Anolis sagrei: one gene and its partners. The protein of the gene in region 4 purifies or fractionates together with the protein of the main gene of each other region. This does not show direct contact. Links are inferred from orthologs where the notes say so. Each region holds a gene or a part of one and is shown on either strand. Other genes may lie near its edges. The genes, in order: NUFIP2, CNOT1, FAU and RC3H1.

Region 1 (6,974 bases), on a different chromosome or scaffold from region 4:
GCCTCAAAGATACTCAAGTGGGGGGGGGGGGAGCCCCAAACCATCCCACATATAGGGGAAAGAACCCTATAATCACTCCGCCCAAAGTCCCTTTTCCCCTCATCTGGAAGGTACACAGAAAAGTGGGGGGACCCCTTGAAAGGAAGAAATCCTATCTCTTTGGAGAGATTCCCAAGAAGGGGGACCTCTAAAAGTCCCCTTTTCCCATTTGGAAGATACACAGACAAAAAGGGGGACCCTTGAGAGTCTCTTTGGAAAGTTAAGAAAAAAGCGGGGTCCCAAGAGAAACGGGGACCCATTGAAAGTCCTTTTGGGGGGGTACCCAAGAAAACTTCTCTTTCCATTGGGAAGGTTCCCAAAAAGTAGGGGACACCCTAAAAGTGTTAGAATCCATCCCTTAAAGAAATGCAAAACAGCAACAATGTCCTCTCAAAATATGGGGGTGCTGTTGAAGGATCCCCCCCCCAAAAAAAACACAGACTTAAAGCTCTGGAAAGGTAATTAAGTTATCCAAAAATATGGGGTGTTGTTGAAGAGTCTCCCCTTTCCCTGGCTCTGTTCCTTCGCCTTGAAACAGCAACAGAATCCTCCCAAAATATGGGGGTGCTTTTGAAGGATCACCCCACAAAACCCAGACTTGAACCTCTGGAAAGGCAATTAAGTTATCCAAAAATATGGGGTGTTGTGGAAGGGTCTCCCCTTTCCCTCTCTTCCTTGGCCTTGAAACTGCAACAATGTCCCCCCAAAATATGGGGGTGCTGTTGAAGGACCTCTCCCCCAAAAAAACAGACTTAATCTTCCTCTGGAAAGGAAATAAGTTGTCAAAAATATGCGGTGTTATAGAAGAGTTTCCCCTTTCCTTGGCTCTCTTCCTTGGCCTTGAAACAGTAACAGTGTCCCCTCAAAATATGGGGGTGCTGTTGAAGTATCCCCCATAAAAAGACTTGATCTTTCTCTGGAAAGGCAATTAAGTTATGCAAAAATATGGGGTGTTGTTGATTCGTCTCTCCTTTCCCTGGCTCTCTTCCTTGGCCTTGAAACTGCAACAGTCCCTCCAAAATATGGGGGTGCTGTTGGAGGACCCCCCTCCCAAAACCAACCTTCAAGCTCAGATGTAGCTGGGAATAAACGTTATCCAAAAATATAGGGGAGTTGTGGAAGGATCTCCCCTTTCCCTGGCTCTCTTCCTTGGCCTTTAAACAGTAGCAGGGTCCTCCCAAAATATGGGGGTGCTGTTGAAGGATCCCCCAAAAAACCAGACTTAATCTTCCTCTGGAAAGGAAATAAGTTGACCAAAAATATGGGGTGTTGTGGAAGGATCTTCCCTTTCCCTGTCTCTCTTCCTTGACCCTTAAACAGTAACAGGATCCTCTTAAAATATGGGGGTGCTGTTGAAGGATCACCCCCCAAAAAACCCAGACTTGAAGCTCAGGAAAGGCAATTAAGTTATAAAAAATATGGGGGGTGTTGTTGAAGGGTCTCCCCTTTCCCTGGCTCTCTTCCTTGGCCTTGAAACTGCAACAGTGTCCCCCCAAAATATGGGGGTGCTGTTGAAATATCCCCCCCAAAAAACCCAGACTTGAACCTCAGGAAAGGAAATAAGTTATCAAAAATATGGGGTGTTGTGGAAGGATCTTCCCTTTCCATGTCTCTCTTCCTTGGCCTTGAAACAGTAAGTGTCCCCCCAAAATATGGGGGTGCTGTTGAAGTATCCCCCCAAAAAATCAGACTTGATCTTCCTCTGGAAAGGCAATAAGTTATCCAAAAATATGGGGTGTTGTGGAAGGGTCTCCCCTTTCCCTGGCTCTCTTCCTTCGCCTTTGGCTCTATTTCCCCCCTTTCCCCCCTACTTAGGGTACCCCAAAACCTTCCCTCCATCCATAGAAAACCTAAAGACCCCCCAAAAAATATTTCAAATCCACCCTCCCCCAAAAATACCATTCCTCTTCCCTTGTGCTTCCCTTTGGGTGGGGCGAGACTTGGGAAGGCGCGTGGAGAGGCGCCTTTTGGGCCTGGCTTTGCACCCCTTTCCCGACCCCAAAGCGGGCACCCCATCCTTTAGACATCCCCCCAAGAGTCCCTTGTACCCATAGGGGGCGAATTTCCCTTTCCAGACCCCCCAAAAGACGGTATTTTTCCCCCCACAACCACCTTTTCCTGTGCGCCTTGGCCGCGCCTAGCCAAGGCGCAAAAGAGGGGAAAAAATGGAGAGGGGGATAGGGGGACCCTCTTCGTGACGTTCCCACGCCTCGCGTGTACACCCTAGCGACCCCATTCCAACGGGATCGTGTTCCCCATCGTTTTATGTATAAACACCCTAAAAATCGTTTCGATGGGGTGTTGTTAAGTACCCCAAAAACCGTGCGTAAAAAGGCACCTCTCCAAAAAGGGACCCCTCTCCTTCGGAGAGGGGTCCCTTTTTGGAGAGGTGCCTTTTTACGCACGGTTTACTCCCCCGCGGAAAACCCACCTGTTCTCCTTCGGGTCGGCTCCTGGGCGGCTTGGGGGTTCCCCCCAAAGCTCCCCACTGTCCCCCCGTTCCTGGGGTCGTGTTTGGGGTTCCTCTGTGGGGCCAAAGGGGCCTTCCTCTCATTCCCATTGGCCCCATGGTTGCTGCTGCTTCCTCCTCCAATTCCTCCTCCTCCTCCTCCTTCGTAATGCTGGTGATGCTGGTGGTGGTTGTGGTTGTAGTAGTAGTAGTGGTGGTGGTGGTGATGGTGGTGGTGGTGGGGATGATGGGAATGGTGGTGCGATGCAGAGGAAGGAGGGAGAGGGTGCTGCTCCTCCATTGAAAAGCCCCCCTCTTGGCTCGCTCTCTCTCTCTCTCTCTGCCACAAAATAGCAAAAATGTATCAACACAGATACACAGAGGAGTAACAGTAGCAGCAGAAGAAGAAGGAGAAGAAATAGGAGGAGAAGAAGGAGCAGTTCCTCGTTGGCTCGGGAGCGCGCGCAGGGCCCAAGACAAGCGCGCCCCCGCCTGATTGGCACCTCTCTCCCTCCCCCTTCAGACCAATCAGAAGCCTCTCCGGTCTCTCTTTAGGTCCCACCTCCTTCTTTCCGCTTTCCCAAGGCAAGGCAAGGAAGGAAGAGAGGAAGGAGGGAAGAAGGAGGGAGGGAGGGAGTGCGCGTGCCCGCCCCTTCCTCCTCCTCCTCCTCCTCCTCTTCTGAGAAAGGCAGACGTGGAAAAAGCTCTGCTTCTTCTGGAGCCTTCGGGGACTTTCGCGGGGTGGCTCCTTCTTTCCTTCTTTCTCTTTTCCTCTCCTTCTTTCCTCTCTCTCTTTTTCTTTCTTTCCTTCCTCTTTCACTCTCTCCTCCCCCTTTCTCTTTCTTTCCTTCCTCCCTTTTTCTCCCCTTCCTCTTTCTTTTCTCTCTTCCCATATTTCCAGTCTCGCCTTCTTCTCTTTCTTTCCTTCTCCGTTCCTCTCATTTCCTTCCTCTCCTTCTTTCCTTTCTCTTTCCTTTCATCTCTCTTCCTCCCCTTTCTCTTTCCTTCTCCTCTCCTTTCTCTTTCCTTTCATCTCTCTTCCTCCTCTTTCTTTCCTTCTCCTCTTCCCCTCCTTCTTTCCTTTCTCTCTTTCCTTCTTCTCTTTCTCTTTCCTTCCTTATCTCTTCCTCTCCTTTCTCTCTTTCCTTCTCCTCTTCCTCTCCTTCTCTTTCTCTTTCCTTCTCCTCATCCCCTCCTTTTTTTCCTTTCTCTCTTTCCTTCTCTCTTCCTTTCCTTCTTCTCTTCCTCTCCTTTTTCTCTTTCCTTTCTTCTCTCTTCCTTTCCTTTCCCTCCTCTCCTTCTTTCCTTTCTCTTTCCTTCCTCTCTTCTTATCCTTTCCTTTTTCTCTTTCCTTCTTTCTCTCTTCCTCTCCTTTCTCCTTTCCTCTCCTTCTTTCCTTTCTCTTTCCTTCCATCTTTCTTCCCTTTCTCTTTCCTCCTCCTCCTCCTCTTCTGAGAAAGGCAGACGTGGAAAAAGCTCTGCTTCTTCTGGAGCCTTCGGGGACTTTCGTGGGGTGGCTCCTTCTTTCCTTTTTTTTCTCTTTCCCTCTTTTTCTTTTCCTCTCCTTCTTTCCTCTCTCTCTTGTTTTTCTTTCTTTCCTCTTTCTCTTTCTCTCCTTCCTCCCTTTCTCTCCCCTTCCTTCTCCCTTCCTCTCCTTTTCTTCTTCCTCTCTTCCTCTCATTTTTCTCTTTCTCTTTTCCTCTCCTTCTTTCCTTCTTCTCTTCCTTTCCTCTCTCTCTCTTGTTTTTCTTTCTTTCCTTCCTCTTTCACTCTCTCCTCCCTCTTTCTTTCTCTTTCTTTTCTTCCTCCCTTTCCCCTTCCTTCTCTCTTCCTCTCCTTTTCTTCTTCCTCTCTTCCTTTCCTTCTCCTTCCTTCATTCTCTCTTCCTCTCCTTTCTCTCTTTCCTTCCTTCTCTTTTCCTCTCCTTCTTTCCTTTCTCTCGCTCTCCTTTTTCTCTCCCTCTCCTCTCTCTCTCTCTTGTTTTTCTTTCTTTCCTTCCTCTTTCACTCTCTCCTCCCTCCTTCTTTCTTTCTCTTTCTTTTCTCTCTTCCCATATTTCCTGTCTCTCTTTCCTTCCTTCTCTCTTCCTCTCCTTCTTTCCTTTCTCTTTCCTTCCTTCCCTCTTCCCTTTCTCTTTCTTTCTTTTCCTCTCCCTTTCTCTCTTTCCTTTCTTCTCTCTTCCTTTCTTTTCTCTCCTCCTTTCCTTCTTTTCTTTCTCTTTCCTTCCTCTCTTCTTATCATTTCCTTTTCTCCTTTCTTCCTTCTCTCTTCCTATCCTTCTTCTCTTTCTCTTTCCTTCCAACTCTCTTCCTCCCCTTTCTCTTTCCTTCTCCTCTTCCTCTCCCTTCCTTTCTCTTTCCTTTCTTCCCTCTTCCTCTCCTTCTTTCCTTTCTCTTTCCTTCCATCTTTCTTCCCTTTCTCTTTCCTCCTCCTCCTCCTCTTCTGAGAAAGGCAGACGTGGAAAAAGCTCTGCTTCTTCTGGAGCCTTCTGGGACTTTCGTGGGGTGGCTCCTTCTTTCCTTTTTCTCTCTTTCCTCTTTTCCTCTCCTTCTTTCCTCTCTCTCTTGATTTTCTTTCTTTCCTTCCTTTCTCCCTCTCCTCCCTCTTCCTCTTTCTTTCCTTCCTCCCTTTTTCTCCCCTTCGTCTTTCTTTTCTCTCTTCCCATATTTCCAGTCTCGCCTTCTTCTCTTTCTTTCCTTCTCTGTTCCTCTCATTTCCTTCCTCTCCTTCTTTCCTTTCTCTTTCCTTCCATCTCTCTTCCTCCCCTTTCTCTTTCCTTCTCCTCTCCTTTCTCTTTCCTTTCATCTCTCTTCCTCCTCTTTCTTTCCTTCTCCTCTTCCCCTCCTTCTTTCCTTTCTCTCTTTCCTTCTTCTGTTTCTCTTTCCTTCCTTATCTCTTCCTCTCCTTTCTCTCTTTCCTTCTCCTCTTCCTCTCCTTCTCTTTCTCTTTCCTTCTCCTCATCCCCTCCTTCTTTCCTTTCTCTCTTTCCTTCTCTCTTCCTCTTTTTCTCTTTCCTTTCTTCTCTCTTCCTTTCCTTTCCCTCCTCTCCTTCTTTCCTTTCTCTTTCCTTCTTCTCTTCTTATCCTTTCCTTTTTCTCTTTCCTTCCTTCTCTTTTCCTCTCCTTTCTCTCTTCCTCTCCTTCTTTCCTTTCTCTTTCCTTCCATCTTTCTTCCCTTTCTCTTTCATCCTCCTCCTCTTCTGAGAAAGGCAGATGTGGAAAAAGCTCTGCTTCTTCTGGACCCTTCGGGGACTTTTGTGGGGTGGCTCCTTCTTTCCTTTTTATCTCCTTTCCCCTCTCTCTTGTTTTTCTTTCTTTCCTTCCTCTTTCACTCTCTCCTCCCTCTTTCTCTCCTTCCTCCCTTTCTCTCCCCTTCCTTCTCTCTTTCTCTCCTTTTCTTCTTCCTCTTTTCCTCTCCTTCTTTCCTTTCTCCTACTCTCCTTTTTCTCTCCCTCTCCTCTCTCTCTTGTTTTTCTTTCTTTCCTTCCTCTTTCACTCTCTCCTCCCTCTTTCTTTCTTTCTTTCCTCTCTTTTTCTCCCCTTCCTTTCTTTTCTCTCTTCCCATATTTCCTGTCCCTCTTCCTTTCCTTCTTTCCTTTCTCTTTCTTTCCTTCTCTCTTCCTCTCCTTCTTCTCCTTCGTTTTCTCTCCTCCTTTCCTTTCTCTTTCTTTCCTTCTTTTTCTCTCCTTCTTTCCTTCCTTTCCTTCTCCCTTTTCTCTTCCTTTCCTCTCTCTCGTATTTTTCTTTCCTTCCTCTTTCACTCTCTCCTCCCTCTTTCTTTTTCTTTCTCTTTCTTTCCATCCTCCCTTTTTCTCCCCTTCTTTTTTCTTTTTTCTCTTCCCATATTTCCAGTCTCTTCTCCCCTCCTTCTTTCCTTTCTCTCTTTCTTTCCTTCTCTCTTCCTTTTCTTCTCTTCCTTTCCTTTCTCTTTCCTTCCTTCTCTCTTCCTTTTCTTCTCCTCTTCCTCTCCTTTCCTTTCTCTCTTTCCTTCCTTCTCTCTTCTGCTCCTTCTTCTCTTTCTCTTTCCTTCCTTCTCTCTTCCTCTTCTTCTTTCCTTTATTTCCTTTCTCCCTTTTTCTTGCCTTCCTCTTTCTTTTCTCTCTTCCTCTCCTTCTTTCCTTTCTCTTTCTTTCCATCTTTCTTCCTTCCCTTTCTCTTTCCTTCCTTCTCTTTTCCTCTCCGTCTTTCCTTTCTCTTGCTCTCCTTTTTCTCTTCCTTTCCTCTCTCTCTTGTATTTTTCGTTCCTTCTTTCACTCTCTCCTCCCTTTCTTTCTTTCTTTCTTTCCTTCCTCCCTTCCTTCTCTCTTCATCTCCTTCTTCTCTTTCTTTCCTTTCTTCTCTCTTCCTCTCCTTTCCTTTCTCTCTTTCCTTCCTTCCTCTCCCTCTCTTTTTTCTTTCTCTCTTCTTCTCCTTTGTCACTTTCCTTCCTGCTCTCCTCTATTTCCTTCCTTCTCTTCCCATCTCTTTCCTTCCTTCTCTTCCTCTCC
Region 2 (7,388 bases), on a different chromosome or scaffold from region 4:
TGAGGAAAGTGGTATAGAAATAAAGTAAATAATAAATAAACCCCCTGTATTTAAAGTACCCCTGACAGATGGCCATCCAGCCTCTGTTTAAATGCTTCCAAAGAAGGAGCCTCCACCGCACTCCGGGGCAGAGAGTTCCACTGCTGAACGGCTCTCACAGTCAGGAAGTTCTTCCTAATGTTCAGATGGAATCTCTTTTCTTGTAGTTTGAAGCCATTGTTCCATGTCCTAGTCTCCAGGGAAGGAGAAAACAAGCTTGCTTCCTCCTCCTGAAGCTTTATCCCCAATCCTGTCTCCAAAACAAGCCAGAGTTTCCAAAATCCAATTCTCACATAGACAGAAAATGCGGTGAAATCTTCCAAACAGGGGCAGAGACAACAAAGGAAACACCACAGGGGTGTCCACACTTCCCTATGCTATCCAGAGAGAGAGAGAGAGATACACACACACAAACATTGAGATAAATATATATGGAAGGATATATGTGTATGGGCATATAGGGATATATATATTGGTATATATACACATATGGATATATATATGTATATATGAATGTTAAAAATATATGGATGGATATATATTGGACCAACTGCTGCTCTGAGATCAGAATGAAGAGAGGGGCCATGAAGGCAGTTCCATCTTGCCTCCTGCACTGTGCGTATAATATACAATACAATATATTGGATATACATATAATATTGATAATATTATAATGTAATACAACATATTAATAATAAAGAAGGAGGGAAGGAAAGAAGGAAAGAGAGAAGGAAGAAAAGAGAGACAGAAGATAAAGAAAAATGGGGAAGGAAAGAGAGATAGAGAAGGAAGGAAGAAGAGAAGGAGAAGCAGGCAGGAAGGAAGGAAAGTGGGAGTGAAGGAAGGAAGAAGAGAAAGAGGGAGGGAAAGAAAAAGGGGGAAGGAAGGGAAGTTAGAGAAGGAAGGAAGGAGAGAAGGAAAGAAAAAAGGGAAAGAGGGAAGGAAGGAAGGAAGGGGGAAGATGTAGAGAAAGAAGGAGAGAAGGAGAGAAGGAGAGAAGGAAGAAAAGAGTGACAGCAGAAGAGAAAGAAAAGGGGGAAAGGAATGAAAAAGGTAGAGAAGGAAGAAGAGAAGGAAAGAAAGAGGGAGAGAAGGAAGGAGGGAAAGAAGGAGAGAAAGAGGGAAGGTTGGCCACAGCAACGCGTGGCGGGTACAACTGGTGTGTGTATAATATATACATACATACACCCACACGTAAATGGATATATACAAACATGGATACACACAGGCATATGGATATACACACACACATATGAATATATGTATATATACGTAAATATACACACATATATACAGACACACATACATATGGAGATAGATAGACAGATAGGTATGGGGGTATAAATAAAGTTTTATTATTATGATTATAGGATTGTGTATATATTGGACATCAACTTTATTTGTAACCCACCCTATCTCCCCAGGTGGACTCTGTATATGTGTATATCCATGTTTATGTGTGTGTGTGTGTGTGTGTGTGTGTGTACACACACACATATACATGGATATATGCAGACATATGGATACACACAGGCATATGGATATACACACACACACATGAATATACATATATGTATATATACATAAATATACAGACACACATACATATGTGTGTATATATACATACACACACACACACGTACATGGATATATACAGACATATGGATACACACAGGCATATGGATAAACACACACACACATGAATATACATATATGTATATATACATAAACATACATACACACATACATACATACACACACGCATATATATACATGGATATATACAGACATATGGATACACCCAGGCATATGGATAAACACACACACATGAATATACATATATGTATATATACATAAATATACAGACACACATACATGTGTGCATGTGTGTGTGTGTATATATATATACATACACACATATATATATACACATATAGACACACACACATATATACACGGATATATACAGACATATGGATACACACAGGCATATGGATATACATACACACATATGAATATATATACGTATATACATAAATATACAGACACACACATATATACATGGATATATAGACATATGGATAAACACAGGCATATGGATACACACACACATATGAATATATATATATATATATATATATGTATATATAAATATACAGACACACACACACATATATACACAGATATATACAGACATGTGGATACACACAGGCACATATGAATATATATACATATATGTATATATTCATAAATATACAGACACACACACATATATACATGGATATATACAGACATATGGATACACCCAGGCATATGGATATATATACATACATAAATATACAGACACACATACATATGGAGATAGATATGGGTATTTGTTGCTGGAGCTGTCCTGACACACATATGAATATACATAGATATATGTATATATACATAAATATACAGGCACACATACAGATGGAGATAGATAGATATGGATATTTGTAGCTGTTCTGAAGAAATGCCCCTGTATACGAGATCCCAACACTTACTGGGCCGTCCTGGTTCGTAATTCGGGACCTGTTCCCTTCCCTTCCAACTTGGGCCCTCCAGGGGGGTTTGGACTCCAACTCCCACCATTCCTAACAGCCTACCGGCTGTTAGGAATGGTGGGAGTTGTAGTCCAACCCCCCTGGAGGGCGAATAACCCGCCCGGGAGGCGCTTCCGCGAGCGAGGCCTGGGCCTGCACTCCCGCCGGGGCCTCGATTGACTCCCAGACCGGGCTGTGGTACCTCCAGAAGGCGGGGGAGGCGCTCCCTGAGGCCGGGCTTACCTCGAGCGTGCCGGGGCCTGCCTTCTTTGCCTTCCCTCGCTTCCTCGGTCTCCTGAGCCGCTCTCCCTTCCTTCCTTCCTTCCTTCTCCGCTCGCTCCGAAACAAAATGGCGGCCGGAGTCGCGCGCTCACGTCGCGGCCCTTTCTCTTCCCGTCCTGCCCCGCGGCGGGAAGAGGCAACGGGGAGGAGCCTCCACCGGCGGGATCCAATGGCCTCGCGCTCCTTAAGCCCCGCCTTCCGGATGGCATCCAATCACGGACCGACATTGAGGGAAAGCACTTTTATTTTTTTGCCCTCAGCGCTGAGGAGGCGGGGAAAAGGTGGAAAGAACCCGCCTCCCGGTTCGGATTGGTTGCTTCACGTCCTCGCTGCCCAATCGGAAGGCAGGGCTCTGAGGGAGTTTGTGAATCCGGCCAATGGGATGACAGCGCGGTTGTCTCGAGGCGGGAGCAGAGGAAAACACCAGTCCGTCCTTTCGCCTCAATGAATGGGGCACAACTTTGGCTCTTTCGGACTCCAACTCCCAGAAGCCTCAGCTGCGTTAGATCAATGGGCAGGAATTCTGGGAATCGTAGTCCAAAACAATTAGAGGCCAAAGGCTTGGGAATCACTCTAGATCTGAGCCATTCCTTGTTGATTTTGGGTCAAGGGTAATAATAGCAATATTGTAATGTATTAATATAACTTTTCTGCCACCAAGGAAGGCCTCTTGAGCTAGTTGGATAAATATGCACCTGATTTATCCATATATATATATATATATACCATATATACCCAGCCCTATTTACCTCTCCAAACCTATTCTCCCCTATGAACCATCAAGATTATTAAGATCATCTGGAGAGGCCCTGCTCTTGGTCCCACCTGCCTCGCAAGCGCGTCTGGTGGGGACGAGGGACAGGGCCTTCTCGGTACTTACTTACTTACTTACTTAGGCGATCCCTCGTTGGACGAGTAAGATGGTCTTCCATCATGGGTTTCCTTGTGGGTCCGTATGTGGCTGTGGAGCCCTATTCTTGCTCTGCATCTTCTTCCGCAGTGAGGAGGGCATTGGGTTCCAGGTGGAAGGCGGTCCCGGTCGAGGTTGGCTTGACGCGCTTTCCTCCTGGCACGTTTCTCTCTCTCACCCTCCAGTTGTGCCTCCTCAAATTCTGCAGCACTGCTGGTCACAGCTGACCTCCAGCTGGAGCGCTCAAGGGCCAGGGCTTCCCAATTCTCAGTGTCTATGCCAGAGTTTTTAAGGTTGGCTTTGAGCCCATCTTTCAATCTCTTTTCCTGTCCACCAACATCCCGTTTTCAGTTCTTGAGTTCGGAGTAGAGCAACTGCTTTGGGAGACGGTGGTCGGGCATCCAGACAACGTGGCCGGTCCAGCGGAGTTGATGGCGGAGGACCATCGCTTCAATGCTGGTGGTCTTTGCTTCTTCCAGCACGCTGACGTTTGTCCGCTTGTCTTCCCAGGAGATTTGCAGGATTTTCCGGAGGCAGCGCTGATGGAAACGTTCCAGGAGCTGCATGTGACGTCTGTAGACAGTCCACGTCTCACAGGCATAGAGCAGGGTTGGGAGGACAATAGCTTTATAGACAAGCACCTTAGTATCCCTACGGATGTCCCGGTCCTCAAACACTCTCTGCTTCATTCGGGAAAATGCTGCACTCGCAGAGCTCAGGCGGTGTTGTATTTCAGCGTCGATGTTGACTTTGGTGGAGAGGTGGCTGCCAAGGGAGCGGAAATGGTCCACATTTTCTAATGTTACACCATTAAGCTGTATCTCTGGCATTGGAGAGGGGTTGGCTGGTGACTGCTAGAACAGCACCTTGGTTTTCTCAATGTTCAGTGACAGGCCGAGCTTCTCGTATGCTTCTGCGAAGGTGTTTAGAGTGGCTTGTAGATCTTCTTCTGAATGCGCACAGACGACATTGTCATCAGCATACTGGAGTTCTATAACAGCTGTTGTTGTAACCTTGGTTTTGGCTTTCAGTCTGCTGAGGTTGAATAGCTTGCCACCTGTCCGATAGATGGCAAGCTTCTCGGTGGTGGCCCCTCGACTCTGGAATTCTCTCCCACCGGAGATCAGAACCACCCCGTCTATCCTGACTTTCAGAAAGACAGGCATTCGACGAGTGAGCCAATACCCTGAGTGTGCTGGTACAGCTGTGCCAGGAGCTCCATTTCTGTTTGCTTTTGCATTTAATGTTTATTGCAGTCCTAAGTTTCAGGGACCCTGCAGATAGGTGGCTTCTTTTATTTATTTATTTATTTATTTCTGCTACTTAGACCCCGCCCTTCTCACCCCCGAGGGGGGACTCAGGGCGGCTTACAAAAAGAAGGCACAATTCGATGCCCTTATCCAAATACATACATATATAAAACGATTACCATAATTAAGCAATTAACAGATTAAAAACATCAATATATAACACAATAGCACAACAATAAACAATCTCATGGTCAGTGTTTCGAGTTCCATAAGTCCAATAGGTTTCGTCATTATTTGCCCATCATTATGGTCTTTCTTTTTAGCTGCCAGAGTTTCCAAAAGCCTGGTCCCACATCCAGGTTTTCAGCTTTTTCCTGAATGAGAGAAGGGAAGTCGCTGATCTGATCTCCCCGGGGAGTGAGTTCCACAGGTGGGGGGCCACCACTGAGAAGGCCCTGCTCCTCGTCCCCGCCAATCTCACTTGTGACAGTGGTGGGGTCGAGAGCAGGGCCTCCCCAGAAGATCTTAAACTCTGAGGTGGGATGTAGAGGGAGATCCGTTCGGACAGATACACTGGGCCGGAACCGTATAGGGTTTTGTAGGTCAAAACCAGCACCTTGAATTGTGCTCGGAATTGGATCGGCAGCCAGTGGAGCTGACGCAACAGGGGGGTGGGATGCTCCCTGTACGCCGCTCCGGTGAGCAATCTGGCTGCCTCCCGTTGGACTAGTTGGAGTTTCCGAGCAGTCTTCAAAGGCAACCCCACATAGAGTGCGTTGCAGTAATCTAGTCAGGATGTGACAAGAGCATGGACCACTGTGGCCAGATCCGACTTCCCAAGGTACGGGCGCAACTGGTGCACAAGTTTTAATTGTGCAAAAGTTTTCCCGGCCACTGCTGAGACCTGGGGCTCCAGGCTCAGCGATGAGTCCAGGATCCCTCCCAAGCTGCGAACCTGCATCTTCAGGGGGAGTGTAACCCCGTCTAACACAGGCTGTAACCCTATACCCTGTTCGGCCTTACGATTGACCAGTAGGACCTCTGTCTTGTCTGGATTCAATTTCAATTTGTTAGCTCTCATCCAGTCCGACACAGCAGCCAAGTACCGATTCAAGGTCTGGACAGCCTCCTTTTGGCTGCAATCATAGGGCAAGCCACCTGTCAATAATAGTTAGGTTCCCTGGTCCCGCCCCTTTTTGAGTTTTGGAGGGAACAGGAGCCATTTTGAGTTAGTTCTCACAGAGAAGCCTTTCGCACAGGACATAGAACGAAGTGGCTCCTGTAGAAAAGCTTCGTCTTTTACAGCTTGGCCGGGGTTATACAGCCCTACGGCTTGCCCAGGAGACATACAGCCACAGCTTGGCTGAGGGACTCCAGCCGGCCATCACAGCAACCTGAACTCCTTCTTTTTCCCTGGAGGTCTACAAAGCTCTGTTGAGGCAAGGGTCGCTCGCGGAAGCCAGACGCAGTTGGTACCGGGTGCAGGGGCTCCACGTCAACAGAGGCAAGTACAGACTGCCCAGATTAGAAGTTAAGCATTTCCCCATTAGTTAGTATACAGTTATGAAGATAGTGCCTGTTCCCAGTGAACAAGATTGAAAGAGCCTATAGACTGTTAAGAAAACCGTTAAAGTACCTGTTTGTTCCTTAATAAAAGAACTTTGTTGGACTTACTTTAAGCCTTCTAAAGACTCTGTTTGGGGGAATCTAAGGGCCTCTAATCTGAGGCAGCCCCGGCGTCCCGTTGGGCACACAGAATTTATGTCCTGTGTACAGTCTAATGCACAGGCCCAGCGTGCGACAGCACACTGAGATATGGATGGAGGATGATGAACAACGATTTTAGTGTGACGACTGACCATTGTAGTTATTGAATGTAATTGCTTTTTTAATGTTTTACTGTAATATGTATTTTGATGTTTTATTGACTGTATGTGATATTATGGTTGGAAACCGGTCAAGAGAGGTGAGAAGGTCGGTATACAAAACTTGTAAATAAATAAATAAATAAGTGTGTGTGTGTATCATATATATATATATATATATATATATATATATCCAATGGCGTGGCGTGTGTGTGTGTATATATATATATATATATATATATATATATATAATACACACACAACATTCAATTTCCTGGAAATCTTTAGAAAACAGGCTTCATAAATCAGGCTTATAGGCTTCATAAATCCGCCTTATATATGAATATATAATATATATTCGTATATATTCGTAAATCAGGCTTATAAGCATCATAAATCCGCCTTATATACAAACATATATTATATATTCATAAATCAGGCTTATAAGCTTCATAAATCCACCTTATATATG
Region 3 (7,595 bases), on a different chromosome or scaffold from region 4:
CTGGCTTGACCCCAGAGGTGCAGATTCTTACCTACAAAGCCCTGAACGGTTTGGGACCCGCCTACCTGCGTGACCGCATTTCTGTGTACAAACCCACACGACCTCTTCGATTGTCCAGAAAGGCCCTGCTCTCGCTCCCGCCCCCTTCGCACACACAATTGGTGGGGACGAGGGAGAGGGCCTTCTCGGTGGTGGCCCCCCATCTCTGGAATTCACTTCCCAGGGATATCAGGCATGCCACAACATTGGCAGTCTTTGGGAGGAGCCTGAAAACGTGGCTGTTCCAGTGTGCCTTCCCAGAATAAGGAAATAAATGCTATTTGTGTATGAGATTTATTTTAATTGCTTTGTATTGTGTCTGTTATTGCTTGTATTGATGTATTGTGGGCTTAGCCTCATGTAAGTTGCACCGAGTCCCTTGGGGAGATGGTAGCGGGGTATAAATAAAGTATTATTATTATTATTCCCAGCAAAATGTCCTCAGAATGCACTTTAACTATTCGTTGGATTGCGCTCCCCTCACTTCTTTAAAACCCTCCTTGCATTTGTCACTGAAGTTCAACAGTGACAAATGCAAGATACTCCACTTTGGCAGAAAAAATGAAATGCAAAGATACAGAATGGGGGACAATGCCTGGCTCGAGAGCAGGACGTGTGGAAAAGATCTTGGAGTCCTTGTGGGGAGGAAGGGGAACATGAGCCAGGAGTGTGATGTGGCGGCAAAAAAAGCCAATGGGATTTTGGCCTGCATCAAGAGGAGCCTAGTGTCTAGATCTAGGGAAGTCATGCTACCCCTCTATTCTGTTTTGGTTAAACCACATCTGGAATATTGTGTCCAATTCTGGGCACCAAAATTCAAGAGAGATATTGACAAGCTGGAATGTGTCCAGAGGAGGGCGACTAAAATGATCAAGGGTCTGGAGAACAAGCCCTATGAGGAGCGGCTTAAGGAGCTGGGCATGTTTAGCCTGAAGAAGAGAAGGCGGAGAGGAGATATGATGAGGGACAGGGATAAATATGTGAGAGGAAGCCACAGGGAGGAGGAGGGAGCAAGCTTGTTTTCTGCTTCCCTGGAGACTAGGATGTGGAACAATGGCTTCAAACTACAAGAGAGGAGATTCCACGCGAACATGAGGAAGAACTTCCTGACTGTGAGAGCCGTTCAGCAGTGGAACTCTCTACCGCGGAGTGTGGTGGAGGCTCCTTCTTTGAAGGCTTTTAAACAGAGGCTGGGTGGCCATCTGTCAGGGGTGATTTGAGTGCAATATTCCTGCTTCTTGGCAGAATGGGGTTGGACTGGCCCAGGAGGTCTCTTCCAACTCTATGATTCTATATATCCTACCTTGTTCATGTCCAGCATTTATTTTTTAAATTTAAACTAACACATTTCGCCTGGCCATAGGTTTTTAAATCTTTGTGTGTTATTGTTTATATGTGATTTATACTAATTGTATCGTTTTTGTTTATTGCTTTCCTGTTTTATTGCTGTGTTGTTGGGCTGGGCCTCATGTAAGCTGCTCCAAGGCCCTTGGGGAGATGGTGGTGGGGTATAAAGTTTATTATTATTATTATCCATAATTTTCATATATATATATATATATATATATATATATATATATATATATATAATATAATATAAATATGTGTATACATAAAATAAAAATGTGTATATATAATGAAATATTTAGATACACACACGTCTCCAAACAGTAAATAATATAAATATATTGCATATCCATAATTTTTCTAAATAAATAAGTATATAATATAAATATGTGTACATATAATTAAATATAATTAAATAAAATATATGGGTATATATAATTAAATATTTAGATACACATACACATCTCCAAATAGTAAATAATATAAATATATTTACGTATCCATAATTTTCATATATATATTATGTGTCTATATAATTACATAAAATATAAATATGTGTCTATATAATTATTGAGATACACACACGTTTCCAAATAGATAATATAAATATATTTGTGTATTCATAATTTTCATAAATATATATATAGTATAAATATGTGTATATATAATTAAATATTTAGATACACACACATTTCCAAATAGTAAATAATATAAATATATTGTGTATCCATAATTTTCATAAATAAATATATATATAATATAAATATGTGTACATATAATTAAATAAAATTAATGTGTATATATAATTAAATATTGAGATACACACATCTCCAAATAGTAAATAATATAAATATATTGTGTATCCTTAATTTTCATATATTCAAATATATATAATATAAACATGTGTACATATAATTAAATATTTGGATACAGGCACGTATATCTAAATAGCAAATAATATAAATATATTTGTATATATTTAATTCACATAAGTATAAGAAGAATGTAAATATGAGACAGAGAGACCGAAGGGGAGAAGGCCTTATATTATATTATATATATAATATAAATATGTGTACATATAATTAAATTAAATATATGTGTGCATATATAATTAAATATTTAAATACACACGTTTCCAAATAGTAAATAATATAAATATATTGTGTATCCATAATTTTCATATATATTATGTGCATATATAATGAAATAAAATATAAATATGTGTCTATATAATTAAATACAATTAAATACAATATAAATATGTGTCTATATAATTAAATATTTAGATACACACTTTCCAAATAGTAAATAATATATTTGTGTATCCATAATTTTCATATATATATATATATATAATATAAATATGTGTCTATATAATTAAATAAAATATTAAAATGTGCATATATAAATATTGAGATACACATATGTCTCCAAATAGTAAATAACATAAATACATTTGTGTATACTTGATTGACATAAGTATAAGAAGAATATAACTAGGAGGCCTCTTTCTCTTTCCTGAGGGGGGGCTCACCTTCCTTCCACGCGAGGCGCCAAGATGGAGGCCAGAGAGAAAAGGAAGTCGGAATTGAGAAGCCGGAAGTAGAGGGGGCGGGCCTCTGACGGGGAGGTACGCGCAGGCGCAGTGACGCCAACTCTCCTCTCTCCTCTCCTCTTCGGCGGCGTTGGCTTACCAAGTCTCGCGAGATCTGCCCGGCCAGCCGTCCCTAAGGAGAGTTCATGCCAAGCGTCGCGAGACTTGGCTGGTGACGCCCGGCTCTCTCCTCTCTGCTTCGGGGGCGGTGCCAAACGTCATCGCCTGGCTGCCTGCGCAGAGGCAGACGTCATCAAGCGGCGCGACGGGGAAGCGCCAAGATGGCGGCGCTGGCGCTGTCTTTGGCGAGGAGGGAAACTGGGCCCAGGCTTCTCCTCCTCCTCAGCATCAGGCGGGTAAAGGGAGTCTTCCCTCTTTCCCCTTTTATCTTTCCCTTCCTTCCCTCTTTCCCTCCTCCTTTCTTCCCTTTTGTCTTTCCTTCCTTCTCTCTTTCCTTTATCTTTCCCTTCCTTCCATCCATCTTTCTCTTCCTCCCTTCCTTCTTTCTCCTTCCCTCTCTCCCCTTCCATCTTTCCCTTCCTCCTCTCTTTCCTTCCTTCCTTCCTTCCTTCTCTCCCTCCTTCCTTTCACTCTCCCTTTCCCTCTTTCTTCCTTCTTCCCTTCATTCATCCCTTTCTTCCTTCTCTTTCCTTCTTTCATCCATCTCCTTCCTGCTTTTCCCTTCCTTCTGCTTCCTCTTTCCTTGCCTTCTTCCCTCCCTCCTACCCTCTTTCCCTTCCTCCCTTTCATCCTTCCTTCTTTCCGCCTCCTTCCCTCTCTTCTTTTTCTTCCTTCCCTTTCCCCATCCATCCTTCCCTTCCTCGTTCATCCTTCCTCCTTCCCTTCTTTCTTGCTTCCCTTTCCTCTTTTCCTTTCTCTTCCTCTCATCCTTTTTTCCTACCACCCCTTCCCTCTCCTTTTCTCTTCCTTCCTTACCTCTCTCCTTCCATCTTTCCCTTCCTCCCTTTCATCCATCCTCCCTTCCCTTCATTCATTCATTCCTTCTTTCCTCCCTCCTTCCCTTTCCCCCTTTACTACTTCTCTTTCCTTCCTTCCTTTTTCCTCCCCCTTCCCTCTTATTCCCCCTTTCCCTTCCCCCCTTTCCTTTCTTCCTTCTCTTTCCTTGCTTCCTCCCTCCCTCCCCCTTTCCTTCCTTTATCCTTCCCGTTCATCCTTCTTTCCTCTTTCCTTCATTCCTTCCTTCCCACTTGCCCCCCTCCTTCTTCCCTTTCATTCTTCCTTCCTTCTGTCCTCCCTTTCCCCATTTCCTTTCCTCCTTCCTTCCTCCTTCCATCCTTCTTCTTTCATTTCCTCCATTCATTCATTCCCCTTTCCTCCCTCCTTCCCTATTTCCTCCCTCCCTTTCATCCTTCCTTCTGTGTCCTCCCTTTCCCCCTTCCCTTTCATACTTCCTTCCTCCTTCCCTTAATTCCTTCCTTCTCTTTCCTTGCTTCCTTACCTCCCTCCTTCCCTTCCTTCCCTCTCCCCATCTTTCCATCTTTTCCTTTCTCCCTTTCCTTATCCTTTCCCTCTCTCTTTCTCCTTCCATCTTTCAAAACCTCCCTTTTCTCTTTCCTTCCTTCCTCCTTTCCCCCCTTTCCTTCTTTCTCCCTTCACTCTTTCCTCCTTCTTTACCTCTCTTTCTCCTTCAATCTTTCCTTTCTTCCTTCCTCCTTCCCTTCCTTCCTTCCATCACTGAGCAATCAGCCTCCCCCCCCCCCCCAAGTTAGAAACTCAGCCCCTGCCTGTGCTCTCCTTCCCTTCTTGCAGAGCCAGGTGTCAACGGAGCCCGCCTCTTTGGAGCCCAGATACCCCGGCATCGAGGAGTCCCGTGAGGAGTATCGCTTTGTGGAGAGGCTCATCCCTCCCACCCGAGTCCCGGAGCCACCAAAGCACGAGAAATACCCCACACCCTCCGGGTGGAGACCCCCACAAGGTTCTTATATATTCGTTTCTCCAGTTTTGCTTCAAGAATTTTACTTCTTATGAATTGCAATATTTCATCCTATTTCAATATTTTGATTTTGTCGTTTTTGTAAAGAAAAGTGTTTTGTTTTTGTTGGAGCATGCAAGGAAATGCGGAGATAAGAAGTATTTTGTATATTTTTAAGGTTTTGTTTTGCGAAAATAAGGCTGTTATGTTTATTTATTTACGGCAAATAAAGGGGAGACTCTGAGCGCCTTACAAGTTATATGTAAATACAAAATATTATATTATTAGCATAGCACAATATTAGTAGCATACATTCCCATATTGTACTACAGTATTATTAGTAATATTACATGTAATATTGTATTATTAGTAGTAGTATTATATTGTATTATATGTATTATTATGTTATATATATTAGTATATATTAGTATAGTGTATTATATGGCAATATGACTGGTGAGACAGTTTCTCCCTTCCTCCCTCCAGATCCGCCTCCTGACCTGCCTTTCTTTGTCCGCCGGTCACGCATGCACAACATCCCCGTTTACACGGACGTCACCCACGGGTGCAGGAAGATGACCGTCATCCGGAAGATCGAAGGGGACATCTGGGTAAAGTGGCCCTTCAGAGGGGTAAAGTGGCCCCCTGATCCCCCTCCGGAGATGTTTAGGCGCCCCAATAGATGTGCTCCGTTTGATTAAAAAAAAGCAGAATTAAGTCACTATCAATAGGCCAGGCTTTGAAGCTACAAGGCCATTCAATGCTAATCAAGCTGGCCAATTGCAACATTCAGATTTGCCTCCAGTAGACAAAGAGTTCTTTCTCCCACCCTGGACATTCTGCAGGTATTTTCGTAATTTCCAACAGACTCCTCAACCTCTGAGGATGCCTGCTATAGATGTGGTCAAAATGTCAGGAGGGAATGCTGCTGGAACAAGGCCAGACAGCCAGGGATTCTGGCCACGAAAGCCTTTGACACACAGCAAACTATATGATTTTATATATGTGTATATAAAATACAATACCGAGTTGTGGCGCAGCTGGTTGGGCATCAGCTACATTAAAATCACTACTGACTGGAAGGTCATGAGTTCGAAAACAGCCCGGGCCGGAGTAAGCTCCCAACCATTTGTCTAGCTTGCTGTTGACCCGAAAGACAGTTTCACCTCTGGGGATGGATTAGAAATTAATAATACAAGAATGAAATAGAACATAATAGAATAGAGTAATATGAGGATGTAATACAATAATGTGAGAATGGAATAGAATAATAGGGCTATATTAGAATATAATAATAATAATATAATATATTAATGAATTTATGATCGGCCTCTGCAATTCAGTATGCAAAAGATAATATAATAATAATAATATATTACTGAATTTATGACCTGCCTGTGCAATTCAGTATGTGAAAAATAATATAATAATAATATAATAATAATAATATAATATATTATTGAATTTATGACCTGCCTCTGCAATTCAGTATGTGAAAATAATAATAATAATAATAATAATAATAATAATAATAATATATTATTGAATTTATGACCTGCCTCTGCAATTCAGTATGTGAAAAATAATAGAATAATATAATATATTATTGAATTTATGACCTGCCTCTGCAATTCAGTATGTGAAAAATAATATAATAATATAATAATAATAATATAATATATTATTGAATTTATGACCTGCCTCTGCAATTCAGTATGTGAAAAATAATATAATAATAATATAATATAATAATATAATATATTAATGAATTTATGACCTGCCTCTGCAATTCAGTATGTGAAAAATAATATAATAATAATATAATAATAATAATATAATATATTATTGAATTTATGACCTGCCTCTGCAATTCAGTATGTGAAAAATAATATAATATAATAATATAATATATTAATGAATTTATGACCTGCCTCTGCAATTCAGTATGTGAAAAATAATAGAATAATAATATATTATTGAATTTATGACCTGCCTCTGCAATTCAGTATGTGAAAAATAATAGAATATAATAATAATATATTATTGAATTTATGACCTGCCTCTGCAATTCAGTATGTGAAAAATAATAGAATAATATATTAATGAATTTATGACCTGCCTCTGCAGTTCAGTATGTGAAAAAATAGAATAGAATAATAATATATTATTGAATTTATGACCTGCCTGTGCAATTCAGTATGTGAAAAAATAATAAGAATAATATATTAATGAATTTATGACCTCCCTCTGAAATTCAGTATGTGAAAAATAATATAATAATAATATATTATTGAATTTATGACCTGCCTCTGCAATTCAGTATGTGAAAAATAATAGAATAATATATTACTGAATTTATGACCTGCCTCTGCAATTCAGTATGTGAAAAATAATATAATAATAATAATATAATATATTATTGAATTTATGACCTGCCTCTGCAGCTCAGTATGTGAAAAAATAGAATAGAATAATAATATAATATATTATTGAATTTATGACCTGCCTCTACAATTCAGTATGTGAAAAATAGAATAATATAATATATTATTGAATTTATGACCGGCCTCTGCAATTCAGTATGTGATTTCCCCCTGTAATTGCCACTACTGCATTCGATGGAACTGTCTGTTCTCAAGGCCTTGTCCCAAACTACACATCCCATCATCATCTCATGGG
Region 4 (6,841 bases):
GAAAACCACTGGTGGTCCATGGATCACAGGTTGGAAACCATTGGTGTAAAATATGGCATACTCCCCTGTCCAAGATATTGTAAAATGGGGAAAGGATGTATACTTATGGACTTTGATGATAAATAAAAATAAATTTAAAGAGTAGCTCACACAGGGCCCCCTAATCCCTTACTCAGGCCCCTTCCACAAAGCTATATAACCCAGAATATCAAGGCAGAAACTCCCACAATTATCTGCTTGAACTGGGATATCTGAGTCCACACTGCCATACAACCCAGTTCAAAGCGGAAAATGTGGAATTTTCTTCAGCTATGTGTAAGGGGGCTCAGAAGCAATGCTCACCAGAGCCATGGTAGACCTTTTTCTCCCTTCTGTTTACTTAGGCCACAATACTCACAAGCAGTTAGGGCCCTTTCCACACTGCTGGATAAAAGCCCACATTTTCTGCTTTGTACTGGAATATATGACAGTGTGGACACATATAATTTAGGGCCCTTCCACGCAGCCCTATATCCCAGAACATCAAGGCAGAAAAATCCCACATTATCTGAGTGTAGACTCAGATAACCCAATTCAAAGCAGGTACTGTGGGATTTTCTGACTTGATATTCTGGGATATAGGGCTGTGTGGAAGGACCCTCAGAATATCAAGGCAAAAAATCCCACAATATCTGTTTTGAACTGGGTTATCTGAGTCCACACTGCCATATAGGAAATAATTCCCAGCAAAATGTCCTCAGAAGCATTTTAACTACTCGTTGGGTTGCTCTCCCTTTATTTCTTTTAAAATCCTCTTACCAGATACATCCTACCTCTGTTCATGCCCAGCGTTTATTTTTAAAATTTTAAACTACTGGCCCGGCCATAGTTTTTTAAATCCTTGCGTGTTATTGTTTATATGTGATTTATATTAATTGTATTGTTTTATTTGCTTACTGCTTTTTATTTTATTGATGTGTTGTCGGGTTTGGCCTCATGTGAGCTGCTCTGAGTCGCCTCGGGGAGATGGTGGCGGGGTATAAATAAAGTTTTATTATTATTATTATTATTATTATTATTATATACTAGCCGTCCCCTGCCACGCATTGCTATGGCCCAGTCTATATATATGTGTGTTTTGTATGTGTTTATATGTGTGTATATATTTGTGTATCTGTGTATATGTGTGTGTGTATATATATATAGATAGAAATATAGATATGGATAGATATGTGTGTGTGGGGGGGGTATGTTTGGGTGTATATATGTGTGGGCATATGTGTATATATGTGTGCATATATTTGTGTGTTTATAAGTGCATATGTATATTTACGCAAAAAGCACTGGCCATCCACAAGAAGATGGAACCAGAGAGAGGAGACCTTGCTGCCATCAACAAAAGTCCAGCTTAAAAACTTAATATGGACATGCCACTAGTTTTACCTACCCACGCCGCTGCCCAAACCCTATTTTAAGGAATTAATCAATTTTTAATCTTTTAATTTTTTTATCTTGTAATTGCACAATCATTTAGGAGTGGGTTGACAGGCCAGTAGGCCGGGATGCCTTGTATTCATATATGGTTTTACTGTATGTATGGGCAAGTGTGTATGTTTTGCATGTTTTGATATGGTCAAAATTGACTATAAAGAATCAATCAATAAAGAATTGTTGGGTTATATGTATATTGTGTGTATGTGTATGCTTGTCTTTATGCATACTTGTGTTTATATATGTGTATGTATGTGTGCATGTGTATATAGGTGTGTGTATATAGATGTGTGTGTGTGTATATTTGTGTGTGCTTGGGTATAGATAGACGTATGTGTATGTATGTGTGCATATGTATATGTATTTGAGTGTGTGTGTATATATATATATGGTGTATTTTGGCTGTTTTTAAGTCTGTTCTGCTGAGGGTTTTTTGTATTTTTAGTGGTGATGAAAACTCATTGGACTGTTAGGCGTATTATGTCAAAAATTGGTGTCAATTCATCTAGTGGTTTCTGAGTTATGTTAATCCCACAAGCGAACATTACATTTTTATTTATATAGATTCCAGTTCAAAGCAGACAATGTGGCGTTTTATTCAGTTGTGGAAGGGGGCTTTGCTTTGTAAATCAGAATATCAAGGCAGAAAATCCCAGATTATCTGCTTTGAACTGGAATATATGTCAATGTGGGATGATATTCCAGTTGAAAAGAGATACTGTGGGATTTTCTGCCTTGATGTTCTGGGTTATAGGCCTGTGTGGAAGGGCCCTTGGAGAAAATATCCCAAACGTTGTCAATTATAAGCTTGATTTATGCCAAAGCAATCTGCCATCATGCCAAACACGCCTGAGATCCTTGGTTTAATGTATTTTTTTTCTACCCAATGTAGACAAATCCACACCTCTTTCAAGAGAAAGGATTAAACAGCCGGGGGAAGAAGTCTAACACCTGCCACCACCCCCTTCCCCCCCCCCCCTCAGTTTGTTGAGAAGACACAGCGCCAGGGAAGGAGGCAAATCGAGCTCGGCAAAAGCCTGCGGCCTAGAGACAAGGAGGGGGCAGAGCAGAGGCGAGGCCTGGCTGAAGCAGGCGCCCTGAAAGGAGGGACGGGGCCCGGTCTTGCCCCCGAAGGCAGGAGCGGAGGGGGAGGCGCGAGTAGGCCGGAGCCTCCGCCCTATTGTTCTGCCCAGGCTCCCTCTCTCTCTCTCTCTCTCTCTCTCACCTCACGGCGGCGGCAGCTCCTCTCAGCTGCGGAGCACAGGCGCGGCCGTGGCGCCCACCTCGTCTTGGCCCAGGAGCAGCGGCAGCAGCAGCAGCGAGCTCTCCTCGGCCCCGGCCGCCTCTCCCCTCCTCTGGCCCTCGGCGGCGGCGGCGGATGCGTCGGCCAGGGCCGCCTCTGCAGCAGGGGCCATCTTGGGTGCCTCCGCGCTTCCTTCCCTCAGCACCACCGCCACCAGCAGCAGCACCAGGCCCGCCTCGCCTCCGCGGGCGTCGCGGCTCATGCGCGGCTCTTCCTCCCCCCGCCCTTCCTCCCTTCCTTCCTTGCTTCCTGCTGCCGAGAGGGGCGGGGCCAGGCCAGGAGGCACTCCGCTTCCGGGTTTGCGCAGGAAGGCGCCCCGAGTGGCCTTCTTCAGCCAGGCCGCAGTGGCTTTCCTCTCAAGCCCCCCACACTCTCAAGCAGGGCCCAGGCACTGTACTAGGCCCAAGGCTCCTCACTCCCTCAGGCATGATACCCTGAACTCAAGCCAAGGCAACTCCCTCCCTGTTATTTATACACTGAACTCAACCTAATGCAACTCCCTCCCTCAGTTACTGTACACTGGACTCAACTCAAGGCAACTCTCTCCCTCAGTCATGTTACACTGAATTCGACCCAATGCAACTCCCTCCCCCAGTTATTACACACTGAACTCGACCCAAGTATCAAAATGTACTCAACCCAAAGCAACTCCCTCACTCAGTTATTATACACTGAACTCAAGCCTATGCAACTCTCTCCCTCAGTCATGATACACTGAACTCAACCCAATGCAATTCCCTCCCTCAGTTATACACTGAACTCAAGCCTATGCAACTCGCTCCCTCAGTTATACACTGAACTCAACCCAATGCAATTCCCTCCCTCTGTTATTAAACACTGAACTCAACCCAATGCAATTCCCTCCCTCTGTTATTAAACACTGAACTCAACCCAATGCAACTCCCTCCCTCAGTCATGATACGCTGAACTTGACCCAATGCAACTCCCTGTTATATACTGAACTCAACCCAATGCAACTCTCTCCCTCAGTTATGATACACTGAACTCAACCTAATGCAACTCCCTCCCAAAGTTACTGTAGACTGAACTCGACCCAATGCAACTCCCTCCCTCAGTTATTATACACTGAATTCAACCCTATGTAACTCCTTCCCTCAGTTATTATACACTGAACTCAACTCAATGCAACTCTCTCCTTCAGTCATGTTACCCACTGAACCCGACCCAATGCAACTCCCTCCCTCAGTTATTTATACATTGAACTCAACCCAGTGCAACTCCCTCCCTCAGTTATTACACACTGAACTCAGTCCAATGCAACTCCCTCCCTCAGTTATTTATACATTGAACTCAGTCCAATGCAACTCCCTCATTTATACATTGAACTCAACCCAATGCAGCTCCCTCCTTTTATACCTTTTTTTGCCATGTCAGGAGCATCCTGTTGTGAGAGAATTGGCCGTCTGCAAGGACGTTACCCAGGGGATGCCCAGATGATTTTGATGTTTTAGCATCCTTGTGGGAGGCTTCTCTCATGTCCCTGCATGAGGAGCTGGAGCTGATAGAGAGAGCTCATCTGCCTCTCCCCGGATTCGAACCTGCGACCTGTCGGTCTTCAGTCCTGCCGGCACAGGGCTTAAACCCACTGCGCCACCGGGGGCTCCTTTTACATTGAACTCAAGTCTATGCAACTCTCCCTCAGTTACTGCACACAGAAGTCAACCCAAACAACTCCCCCACTCAGTTATTGTACACTGAACAGGCATTCGACGAGTGAGTCAACACCCTGAGATATGGATGGAGGATGAAGAGCAACGATTTTAGTGTGACGACTGACCATTATAGTTATTGATTGTAATTGCTGTTTTAATGTTTTACTGTAATATGTATTATGATGCTTTATTGATTGTATGTGATATTATGGTTGGAAACCGGTCTGAGTCCCTCAAGCGAGGTGAGAAGGTCGGTATACAAAACTTTTAAATAAATAAATAAATAAACTCAAGTCTATGCAACTCTCTCCCTCAGTTACTGTACACTGAACTCAACCCAATGCAATTCCCTCCCTCAGTTATTACACACTGAACTCGACCCAATGCAACTCCCTCCCTCAGTTATTTATACATTGAACTCAACCCAGTGCAACTCCCTCCCTCAGTTATTACACATTGAACTCAACCCAATGCAACTCCCTCAGTTATTACACACTGAACTCGACCCAATGCAACTCTCTCCCTCAGTTATGATACACCAAACTCAACCTAATGCAACTCCCTCCCTCAGTTACTGTACACTGAACTCAACTCAATGCAACTCTCTCCTTCAGTCATGTTACCCACTGAACTCGACCCAATGCAACTCCCTCCCTCGGTTATTTATACATTGAACTCAACCCAATGCAACTCCCTCCCTCAGTTATTTATACATTGAACCCAACCCAATGCAACTCCCTCTCTTAGATATTTATACACTGAACTCAACCCAATGCAACTCCCTCCCTCAGTTATTACACAATGAACTCGACCCAATGCAACTCCCTCCCTTAGTTATTCTACACTGAAGTCAACCCAGTGCAACTTCCCTCAGTTATTACACACTGAACTCAACCCAAGGCAACTCCCTCCCTCAGTTATTTATACATTGAACTCAACCCAATGCAAAACCCTCCCTCAGTAATTTATACACTGAACTCAACCCAAGGCAACTCTCTCCCTCAGTCATGATATGCTGAACATGATATGCTGAACTCGACCCAATGCTACTCCCTCCCTCCTTTGATGCAATTCTTGAGTATTGTTGTCAGCCCAGTAGCACATGTTTTGTTTGTTGACGGATCTACACAAATTAAAATGGGCTTCATCACTAAAAAAACAATAGCGTCCTCAGGAATGACTTCGAGAAGAACCTCACACGGAATCCTCCGAGAATTGAAGTCACGTTCAGAAAGTTCCTGCACAATCGCCATCTTGTAAGGATCAAAATGAAGATAATCATGAAGAATTCTCCTCACAGAACGATTGGGAAGTCCAAGGGCAGACACATGTTTGCGCGCAGAACGCCGTGGTGTTCGCAACATTGAAACTCTCACTGCCTCAGTGTTCTCAGGTGATCTAATGGGCCGAGGGACTCTAGTTCTTCGTCTTGACGCACTTGCAGTTTGTTTGAATGTAGTGACCCACGTCACAATTGATTTCCGGTCCGGTCCGGGACAGGGGCCAATGGGGCTAAATTAAAGTGATTCCGAAAGGCGCACTGGGTTGCAATCACAGAACATCCGCTCGAAAAGTAGGCCTCAATGGCAAAAGCATAATCCTCACTGTTCCAACACATGATGGCGACTGAACTGTTAGGAAAAATCTTTACACTCCCGCCTCTTGGACGAGACCACTAGCGCTCCGCTACATCTTCAACCGACTGAATGGCACACATTTTAAAAAAGGAAGTTATACCCTTTACTTGTAAGCATAACACAGAGAGATCTGAAAACACATCTGAAAAGAGGTAGGTTGTAAGGTATAATAATGGCAGCCAGTGGAGCTGTTGCAACAAAAGAAGTTGTATGGACCTTGTAGCTAGCCCTAGTTGGCCATCTGGCTTCAGTGCTTTAAAGCAACTGAAGTCTCCGAACACTCTTTGAAAGTGGGTCCTTGCAAAGCGTGTTACACTAATCCCACTATGATGTAACTGAGGCATGTGTCACTGTGACTAGATCTGACATCTCAACAAATGGTCGCAGCTAGTGCACAAGCCTTAATGTGCACTTCTTGCCACTGCTGAAATCTGAGCTCCCAGGGTCAGGGTTGAATCCAGGAGTACGGCTATGCTGCAGACCTGCACTCTTACAGAGAATGCCGCCCATGAGGCTTGCATCCTTCCATGACATTGCTTGAGTCAACTACTTCCCCATCTCACTATTTTTGGTTTGATATTATGCAACCCCCCCCCCCCCCACACACACACACTGTATTGCAGGCATTACATTGTTTTACTTATGATAAAATGTAATACAGTAATATCAACCTCATAGTACACAAGGGGCCATATGTTTTCTAATTTAAAAAAAACATATGAAAATAACTTTATATTTTGCATATACATGCAATTGTT

The links.
Region 1: the proteins of RC3H1 (region 4) and NUFIP2 purify together in Homo sapiens (affinity purification with mass spectrometry; 3 studies listed by BioGRID, with this or other methods). This does not show direct contact. The link is inferred for Anolis sagrei from reciprocal best matches to the Homo sapiens genes RC3H1 and NUFIP2.
Region 2: the proteins of RC3H1 (region 4) and CNOT1 purify together in Homo sapiens (affinity purification with mass spectrometry; 5 studies listed by BioGRID, with this or other methods). This does not show direct contact. The link is inferred for Anolis sagrei from reciprocal best matches to the Homo sapiens genes RC3H1 and CNOT1.
Region 3: the proteins of RC3H1 (region 4) and FAU purify together in Homo sapiens (affinity purification with mass spectrometry; 3 studies listed by BioGRID, with this or other methods). This does not show direct contact. The link is inferred for Anolis sagrei from reciprocal best matches to the Homo sapiens genes RC3H1 and FAU.

Annotation. Positions count from the first base shown.
Region 1 is NC_090031.1:34,092,577-34,099,550, reverse strand, and holds the start of NUFIP2 (FMR1-interacting protein NUFIP2), read right to left. Parts: upstream 3,001-6,974; 5' UTR 2,790-3,000; coding exon 2,471-2,789; intron 1-2,470. UniProt on the Homo sapiens protein: Binds RNA.
Region 2 is NC_090028.1:1,661,135-1,668,522, forward strand, and holds the start of CNOT1 (CCR4-NOT transcription complex subunit 1), read right to left. Parts: upstream 3,014-7,388; 5' UTR 2,853-3,013; intron 1-2,852.
Region 3 is NC_090032.1:22,373,338-22,380,932, reverse strand, and holds the start of FAU (ubiquitin-like FUBI-ribosomal protein eS30 fusion protein), read right to left. Parts: upstream 3,007-7,595; 5' UTR 2,924-3,006; exon of another isoform or gene 2,923-2,923; intron 1-2,922. Other genes in the region: MRPL49 (large ribosomal subunit protein mL49), read left to right, coding at 3,265-3,339, 4,754-4,919, 5,403-5,527.
Region 4 is NC_090024.1:129,897,790-129,904,630, reverse strand, and holds the start of RC3H1 (roquin-1), read right to left. Parts: upstream 3,002-6,841; 5' UTR 2,696-3,001; intron 1-2,695. UniProt on the Homo sapiens protein: Post-transcriptional repressor of mRNAs containing a conserved stem loop motif, called constitutive decay element (CDE), which is often located in the 3'-UTR, as in HMGXB3, ICOS, IER3, NFKBID, NFKBIZ, PPP1R10, TNF, TNFRSF4 and in many more mRNAs.